2 linked regions of the Canis lupus familiaris genome follow. The protein of the gene in region 1 binds, or shares a complex with, the protein of each later gene. Links are inferred from orthologs where the notes say so. Each region holds a gene or a part of one and is shown on either strand. Other genes may lie near its edges. The genes, in order: ELMO1 and RHOG.

Region 1 (4,474 bases):
GCCACATTAAAAATGTAAAAAGCCTGGCTGGCTCAGTCGGTGGAGCGTGGGACTCTTGATCTCCGGGTCGTGAGTTTGAGCCTCATGTTTGGTGTAGAGATTACTTAAAGAACCTAACTTCTTAAAGAACTAAAATCTTTTTTTTTTAAGATTTTATTTATGTATTCATGAGAATACAGAGAGAGAGAGAGAGAGAGAGGGAGGCAGAGACACAGGCAGAGGGAGAAGCAGGCTCCATGCAGGGAGCCTGACCTGGGACTCGATCCCGGGTCTCCAAGATCAGGCCCTGGGCTGAAGGTGGTGCTAAACCACTGAGCCACCTGGGTTGCCCAAGAACTAAAATCTTAAAAACATTTAAGAATGTAAAAAGAAAATAGTGAAAATATTCTAAATTATATATATGTTGTATATATTTACACTATATATATTTTATTTGTATATACATTTTACATATATATATTATATATATGTATTTTTTAACCTAATAAAATAACCCAGTGGACTGATCACATCTTACACTATTAGCATTTGTTGAAATGCTATAATCAGCATAAAAGTTTCTAACAAGCTATTTTACATTCTGTTTTTCATACAAAGTCCGGTGTCTGTTTTCCACTTCCAGAACATCTCAGGGCGAGCCACATTTGGAGTGTTCAATAGTTGCTTGGGGCTCTTGGCTGCCAGCACAGGGGAGGGGGTGGGACTGCAATTTAAGCAGGAGTTTTACCCTCCACCTTAGAGGCCAATGCCTCCCTGCTCCCGGGTTACCAACTTGGCCAGTTTGAAGGGAATGCATTAGTAACCGCCTTTGTCTTTTCGGGTAGATAGCTATTTTTTTCTTTTTGAATTTGTTAAGGACAGGTGTTTCTCCTGCAACCTTCCAACCACTGTCACTTGCCTCCTTGGCAGCTAGGCTGGGAGTTAGTATTTTTTGATTCTTTGCTTTGAAAAATCACTGGAGTGGGTCGCATTAGACAGTGCACCCCCAATACCGAGCTGGGGAGGGTAGAACGTCTCGCTTCGTGAAAAGTCATGCCAAGTTAGGGAGTCCTTGGGGTCACTGATGAGAACTGCAGGGCGCACATGCCTCGGGGGCTCCAACAGAGAGCAGCAGAGGTTGGGTTACCCTCGCCAGGCCGCTCCGGGGTAAGCCCAAACGCCTTTTAAAGTCGCTTTAAAACAACCCGCCTAAGTCTCCCCCCCCACCCCCTCGAAATTGCATGCCAGCTGCCAAAAATGAAAGCATATAAAAAGACGCCACGCGCCCTCGGCCTCCCGGAGGTGGCGCTATGACGGTGACGGAGTTAATTAGTGCCTGCAAAGCGCCGCGTGTGAGCTCATCCGAGAAGTCATGCTCTGCACACATATTATTTATAGCCGATCTGAGGCGTGCACGGTGCTTGACATTTTCCTTATTTTTAAGTAGGGGGACTTCGGAAAGTGGTGGGCGGCCCCGCACCCCGTCCCCGCCGCAGCCCCCCGCCCCGCAGGGCCGAGGCGGCGGCAGCTCCCGGGGCGCGCGGGCGGGGACAGCGCCAACCCCGCGAGTCCCGCGCAGGTGCCGGGGGCGGCGGCGGCCCCTCGGCAGGGCCGCCCGCCCGGGAGGGGACTCGGCGGCCGCCCGCGGGATGCCTGCAGATGCACAATGTGTCTCCGGCCAGCAGGAGGGAGGAAGAGGAAGTGAGAGCAGCGGCGGCCGGCGGCGCGGCGGCCGGCGGGGCCCCAGGGTGAGTGCGTGTGCGCGGCCGGGGATGGGCACGGGGTAGAGGCAGAGCCGCCCCCCCCCCCCCCCCCGCCGCGGCCCCGAGCCGCCGGACCCAGCCTCGGGCCCCCTCCGCGGCCGCGGGGCGCCGCCGCCGCCGCCGCCGTCCTGCGACCCCCGGGCAGGTTCGTAAAGTTTCCTGCGCTGGCGCCGCGCCCCGACTCGCTGACCTCGGCGCGGCCGGGGCGGGGGCCGGGGCTCGGCGGGGGGCTCGCGAGGGGGCGCCCTGCCCCGGGGCCGGGGGGCGCCCCGGGCGCCGCGGAGACACTTTTGCCCGCGCCCCCGCTCCCCCGGGGCGCCGCGGCTGGAGCCGGGGGCGGCTGCGTGCGCTCGGGGCGCTCCGCACTCGGGGAAGTCTGGGCAGCGCCCGGCGGCCGCTGCGGGAGCGGGAGAGGGAGCGGGAGCGGGAGCCCGAGCCGGGCAGGGGCGCCGGGAGGGGCGCCGGGGAGGGGGGCCGGCGGCTCGGACCCCGGCTTCTGCTCCCGCACCCGCGGGTGGGAGGGAAGCCCTCGGCGAGCGCGCCCCGGGGAGGGGACAGCGATGGGGACGGGCAGGGGGCGCGCTTGGGGCGCCCGGGACCCTCGGGGGAGACGGCGGGTCCCCGCCGCCTGGGGACGCGCCTGGGGACGCCGCTGGGACCGCGAGGACGGCGGGGAGGGGGCCCCGAAGGGCGGTCGCGGCTCGGGAGGGGGCGCAGCGGGCGGCCCTGCACGGTGGCGGCAGCGGGGCGCGGCCCGGGTCCCCGCCGCGGGGGGCGGCCAGGTGGCGGGTGGCTCCGAGGGAGGGAGACGCGCACGGCGGCGGCCCGGGGCGCGCGGGGGGCCGGGGCCGGGGAGCCCGAGCGGGTCGCGGGCGCGCGCGAGGGCGGGGAGCGTGGGAGCCCGCGGGCGCAGGCGGGGCGCGGGGGGCTCGGGGCGCGGGGGGCTCGGGGCGCGGGGCGCGGGCTGCCCGCCGAGTGGCCCCCGGTGCCGCCTCCCGCCCGGGGCCGCTTCAAGTCGGCGGCGGCGGGCGGGGGTCGCTGGCGGTGCGGCGGGCGGGCGCGCGGGGCCCGGCCGGGGCCCCTGGACAGCTCCCGGCTCCCGGCTCCCGGCCCCAGGAGGGTGCGCCCCGGCCCGCTGCATCCAAGGTTTCCAGAGGCGCCAAGACTAGGTTTCGCGCCCCGGGAGGCAGAGGCCGCAGGTCCTGGCTTGGGGGGGCTGGGAGGTGGGGGGCACCGGAAGACTTCAGGAGTGTTGCCGGCGTGGTTTTTTTTTTTTTTTCTTTCTTTTGTTTCTGAAATAAAAGTAACTGATGATGTGTATTTAGGCATGGACTCTCTGAGGGGTAACTTTAAGAACCCCAGGAGGGACCTAACCCTACTCAGGTTCACTTTTAGATCAAAAAGCCGGCAGCTCATCCCGCCAAGTGCCCCCCACCCCCCTCAGTGCCCAGCACTTGGCGGGATGAGCACTGGGTGTCATGCTATATGTTGGCAAATTGAACTCCAATTTAAAAAAAAAAAAAAATTTTTTTTTTTTTTTTAAAGAAAGGTAACAGTAACACAAAAATAAGAGGAAAATCTCTATAAGGGATGCCCGGGGGGCTCTGCAGTTGAGCACCTGCCTTTGGCTCAGGGAGTGACCCCGGAGTCTCAGGATGGAGTCCTGCATCAGGCTCCCTGCAGGGAGCTTGCTTCTCCCTCTGCCTGTGTCTCTGCCTCTCTCTGTGTGTCTCTCATGAATAAATAAATAAAATCTTAAGGAAAAAAAAAAAAAAAGCCAGACAGCAGCTCTTAGTAAGGGCCTCTTCTGGTCATGTTTTTCCTGTCTCCCCTCCATACCTACTTCCCAAGGTTATTTCAAGGATTATTGTCCCTCAGTTTACAGAACCTCGAAGCCCGGATGCCCTGCTGTCATGTGGCGGACTTTATTTTTTACAGTTGCCCTTCTGAACCCCTGCTCCGGACTAGGGTACATTTCCTCTCTCTGGAGGGCTGTGGTTAAATGTTGCCTTTTTTCCTACTGAATCTATTACTCAGATTTTTTTTTTTTTAATTAGATGGACTGGTTGTCTAATGGGGAAACTGTGAGGGAATGACCAGGAGTGTTGAAAGTCTGCAGGGGGATGGGGTCAGGAGGGAAGGGAACTGGGGGAGCAGCTTGGTGGATATCAGGGAAGGGGCCGTTGCAGGCCCAGGCCTGAGTCTTGTGGAATTCAGGTGCAGGCACTGGACTACGGGATGGGTGGTGCCATGAATGGTCCTATCTCCACCCCCCCTCCCCCATGTCTCATCTTCCTGCTGTTTTTAAATAAAATATTTATTTATTTTAGAAAAAGAGAGAGAGAGAGAGAGAATCTCAAGCAGACTCCCTGCTGAGGTGGGGCTCCATCCATCCCACAACCCTGAGACCATGACCTGAGCCAAAACCAAGTCAGCCACTTAACCACTTAACCGACTGGGCTGCCCAGGTGTCTCTCCTGCTTTTAACTGCAGCCATTCTGACCACCTTACATTCTTCTTCACCAAGTTCTCTCCCCAGAGCCTTTGAATATGTTACTCCTTTTGCACAAAGCATGTTTCCCCGCATTTCCAGATAGCTCACTCCCTTGTTCACTTCAGGTCTCTCTGCCCAATTGTCAGCTTACAGGCAGCCTTTCCTTATTAATTAATTAATTTATTTATTTAAAGATGTTATTTATTTGACAGAGAACCAGAGAAAAAGCATGAGCAGG
Region 2 (4,529 bases), on another chromosome or scaffold:
GTGGGGTGGGTGTATCTGTGTTGTGGGAGGAAGGGTGATGGCAACCACGCAGGGAGTGGTCCTTTGGGGCCGAATTGTGAAAGTCTGAGTGGATTTCGCCTGGCAATCAATACAGGAAAGAAGGCACGGCAGAGGGAATAGAAGGGGCAAAGACCCAAAGATGTGGGCAGACATGTTGTGTTTAGGAAACTTATTCTTTTTTATTTTTTTTAATAATTTTATTTACTTATTTATTTATTTATTTATGATAGTCACACAGAGAGAGAGAGAGAGAGAGGCAGAGACACAGGCAGAGGGAGAAGCAGGCTCCATGCACCGGGAGCCCGACGTGGGACTTGATCCCAGGTCTCCAGGATCGCACCCTGGGCCAAAGGCAGGCGCCAAACCGCTGCGCCACCCAGGGATCCCGGAAACTTATTCTTATAGCATGATTTTTTTTTTTTTTTTAAAGCATTCGTTGAATGTTTACTTTGAGCCGGGCACCAATAGCAGGCCTTTTACATCCATTCTCATGTTATCTCCCCTCTACAGGACGAAGGAGAGGTTATTCTATTTTACCAAAGATAGAACTGAGGCTCAGAAGGTTACGCTATTTATTCTTCCTTTTTATCTGGAAAGCCTCTTGGAGACAGGGAGCCTGTCCTAAACGCCGCACGGAGCTGCAGCTGTCCACGTGGTAGGCGCTCAGAAAGTTTGGGTTGAACGGAGGAAGGCTATCCGCCCCTTCTGGAGCCGTCAGAGCTCCTGAGCAACACCTGGGTGCAGAAGCAGCAGAGGGCGCCCGCGAGCCCGTCCACCCAGCTGTCCCCGGGGCGCCGGCAGGATCTTGGGCCTGGGTGCCGCCCTGCAGCCCTAAGCGGTGGCGCGCCCGGCGGCGAGGAGAGAGAGGGCGAGGGCGAGGGCGAGGGCGAGGGCGAGGGCGAGGGCGAGGGGAGCCCTACGTCCTCCGCCCGCCCCGCCCCGCCCCGCCCCCTCCCCTCCCCAGAGCCCAGCGCACGGAGCAGCCGGTTGCGGAACGACGACACGACATCCTGTTTTTGGGGCCCGCGGCTCGGTCGGCGCCTCTGCTGATCTTGTCTTTCCCCGGGTGCTGACGCCAGCTCCCCTGCCCCCAGTCTCCGCACCCTCCCCAGGGGTCTGGGGCCTTCCCACTGCTGAATCACCACCACTGCGCGCTCCGCTGGGGCTCGGGGCAGGGGTGGGGACTGTCCCAGCCGGACCCACTCCGGCCAACCCGCAGGCTGGGCCAGCGCTCCCTCCCTGGGCTTGACCGAGGCGCCCACCCTGGGGCGCCGGTTCTCAGCATCTTCCCGCGGGGAGTGGGTGGGGCAAGATACGGGGAGGGGGACAAAAGCTTGGGGCCCCGGCTACGGCCTCGACTGGGGTGGGGTGGCACGGAGGAGACGGGCAGGACTGACCTTAGGAGACCTGACTTAGGGCCCTCCGAGGCAGAGGGCCGGGGTTAGGGAGCCCAGGGCCCGACCCCGGACCGCGCCGGGCAGGTGTTGGGGGGGAGACCCCGGCCGGGGGGCCCGGGCCTCGCGCACTTCCCGGTCCGGCCCGCCCCGCCCCGCGCCCCGCCCCGCGCCCCGCCCCGCCCCGGCCGGCCCGCCCCCCCCACTTCCTCCGGCCTCCCGCTCTCACTTCCTTCTCGAGCCCGGAGCCGCTGCCGCCGCCCCCAGCTCCCCCGCGGCGGGGAGGGCACCAGGTGAGGCCCGGCGCGGGCCGGCGGGCCGGGGGGCCGGGGGGCCGGGGGAGGGGGCGGGGGAGGGGGCGGGGGAGCGCGGCCGGCAGGGACTGCGCGCGGGCGCGGGCGCGGGCGCGGCGCGGGCCGGGGAAGTTCGCTTGCGGGAGGCGCGGGCGGGAGCTTCTCGGCTCTCCGCAAGCTGGGCGGGCGCGGCCGGGCGGGCGGGCGGGCGGGCGGGGAGCCGGCCCCTGCGAGCCGGCGGCGGTACCGTGACGGTGGGTTTCTGTCCCCGGGGAGGCGGCACCGCGGAGGTGGGAGAGTCCCCGGCTCCGAGAGAAAAGTCTCCGAAGTGGAAGAGCTCGGAGCTGGGCGATGGGATTCAGGGCTGGGGTGACCTCAGAAGGGGAGGGGGGTGTCCCAAATTGCGTGAAGGAAGGGGGCCCCCTGGGCTGCAGAGAAAGTGCTCCCCTCCGCTCGGCAGTTGTGACACTTGCAAGGTTGGAGGTTGGAGGGGGGCGGTGTCTGGGGCCCTCGAAGCCCTGGACTGCGGAGAATAGAGCTCCCTCCCTGCAAGTGCCAATCCGGACCCGCATTCGCAGGCTGCAGTCCAAGGTCCTGTGCACTCAGGGGAGGGCAGGGAGGGGGGAGCCCCGCCAGTCGCAGTCTCGCTCTCTATGCCTGTTTTTCTGACGCCCAACCTCTCCATCCCTGGAATGAAGCAACAGGTATTTAGTTGGCAAACATCTCTGTGCCTGGCTGACCAGGGCCTGGCCTCGCTCTTTGGGGGGTAAACTGAGGAAGAAGAGGGCCTGGTCTTGTGACTAGCGGTGGAAGGACTCTCATTCAGAGGTGCTGATAGGCCCTGACAAGGTGGCATCGCTGAGATGGGGGCTATTTTGAGGGGATGAGAGAACAGACCTTCTGGGTGGCAGTGCCAGCTCTGGCCTTGGGAAATAATTGGGAGCATCTCCTATTCCCTCCACCCAATCGTTAGTCCCTAAATTCTATATTCTCATTTCTCTTCCTCCATTCCTTCTTCAGACCCTATCTGCAAACACTCCATCACCCTCTTCTTGCATCCTCTGTAGTCTTTCACCTAAACACACTGTCATGCCCAGGTCCTGTCCTGTCACCTGCCCTGCCCCTCTGTCCACCTCTGTTCCCTGCAGCCTCCCCACCTCCCTTCCTTGCCCCCCTACTGGTTCCCAAACACATATCCACCCTCTTGCTTCTTCCACCTTTCCTCACTTCTCTTAATCTCCCTGTCTCCTTCCCTTTCAGCCACTTATCTCTGGCTTTGGGGTCCAGAACTTTGGTGGGTTTGAGAGCCTTTTCAGATCTCCCGACCTCAGAGAGACAGGCTACAACCTCCCAGTGATAAAGATGATTAAAGGGCTGGAAAACTTTTCTCTATGTGTATTTGCCTGGGATTGTCAATGTGTCTATGTCTTTATCTCTTGGAGACAAAATAACTGCCCTCAGCCTTGAGAGGGCCCAGGGCAGGGGAAACCAGCAGAATGAAGGGAACCTGCAGTGGGTGAGGTTGTGGTTAGGCAGGAGGAAGCAGTCTGTAGCAGTAAGGGTAGAGTGACACAGGAATAAGACTGGTGAGCGAGGCCGTGGGAAATCAAATCACCCAAACCCTTGGGTGCTTAACCAAGAGGCCAGGTATAGAGGCTGGGAGAGAGCCTGAAGGCCCCTGATTCCAGTGCTTGCTTGTTCCTACACCACCTGTTAGGGAAAATGGGATGAGGTCAGCTAGGTGTGGTGGAAGGAAAGGGAGAGGACAAAGGCAGGATTCTGGAGGGAAGACTAGATAGCTGGTCTAACTTAAGTCTTTACTGTTTTAGTTAAGGAGAAGGAAGTAAGGCAGAAGTGTCTGCCCCGTCTTCCCTCCTTCCTTCTGGGGCCTGCCCAGCCTGGGAACTCACGTGCCCTGGCTGCATTAGGGTCTCCATGACAAGTCCTCTGCCGACCCCTCTGCCTTCAGGCATTGTTAATTTTCCCCCTCTCATCCAGGACCCTACTCCCTGTGTTTCAGGAGTTCCTCTCAAGTTTAACTTCAGTCCAGCTTGGCTCTACGCGCTCTTGTCCCCATTCTAAAGCTCCTTCCTCAAGTCTTTGGGAAGCATGCTGAGAGATCCTGCCTCTCCACCTCAAGTCTACTGTATTCATTTCTCCCCATTAGAAAAAAAGAGAAGTGGAGGGGAACTTTTTTGGGATTCCCAAGCACAACTAGATTTAAGAGCTAACCCGGTTCCTCATTCTAGCCTTTCCCCCTTCTTCCGTGAATTGTCCCTTCTTCCACCGTATCTCCTACTGTCACTCTGGGAGGTACAGGTGGTTCCACTCCAGGAGGAAATCCCAGGAACCTGCAAAAAATTCCAGCTCAGAGAAGGATGTGCATGCAAGGCACTTTTTCAGCATCGTGGCTCATTAAAAAACCATCCAGGAGTTCTGACTCCCCACCTGCTAAACCAGTCCTTATTTGGGGAAGAAATGGCTAATGTGAGATTGTCACAGATCCTGGTTGGGAATCTAGGATATGGAGAGTTGTTTCTGGCCAAATGTTAGGTCAGATGAAGTGGCCGAGGTGAGCTTTTAGGAGGTTATAGCAGGAAGATATGAGAAGTTGTAGCTATAATGAGACAGTTGGGAAGATATTAGAATGGGGGTAGCTGGGCAGCTGGGAAGAAGGTGGGGGCCTGGGCCCAGAATGAAGACCTCTCCCTCCATACACAGTGTAGACCCATTAGTAGTGAGGCTTGTAGGGGGTCTGTGAGGAGGGAAACCAAAGACAAAGCCTGGGCCGCCTCCCCAGAACAGATTGGTTTTCCTGTCT

Evidence for each region.
Region 2: the proteins of ELMO1 (region 1) and RHOG are in contact, whole or in part, in a crystal structure (PDB 7Y4A), measured with the Homo sapiens proteins. The link is inferred for Canis lupus familiaris from reciprocal best matches to the Homo sapiens genes ELMO1 and RHOG. Residues at the interface, in NP_001193409.1 of Homo sapiens: Lys9, Val10, Ala11, Glu13, Tyr18, Pro19, Leu21, Met22, Ala54, Asn71, Gly72, Ile74; in NP_001656.2 of Homo sapiens: Val36, Phe37, Asp38, Trp56, Tyr64, Arg66, Leu67, Leu70, Ser71, Pro73, Gln74.

Annotation. Positions count from the first base shown.
Region 1 is NC_049235.1:48,790,017-48,794,490, reverse strand, and holds the start of ELMO1 (engulfment and cell motility protein 1), read left to right. Parts: upstream 1-1,601; 5' UTR 1,602-1,638; coding exon 1,639-1,727; intron 1,728-4,474. UniProt on the Homo sapiens protein: Involved in cytoskeletal rearrangements required for phagocytosis of apoptotic cells and cell motility. Acts in association with DOCK1 and CRK. Was initially proposed to be required in complex with DOCK1 to activate Rac Rho small GTPases.
Region 2 is NC_049242.1:26,500,591-26,505,119, reverse strand, and holds the start of RHOG (rho-related GTP-binding protein RhoG), read left to right. Parts: upstream 1-1,605; 5' UTR 1,606-1,708; intron 1,709-4,529.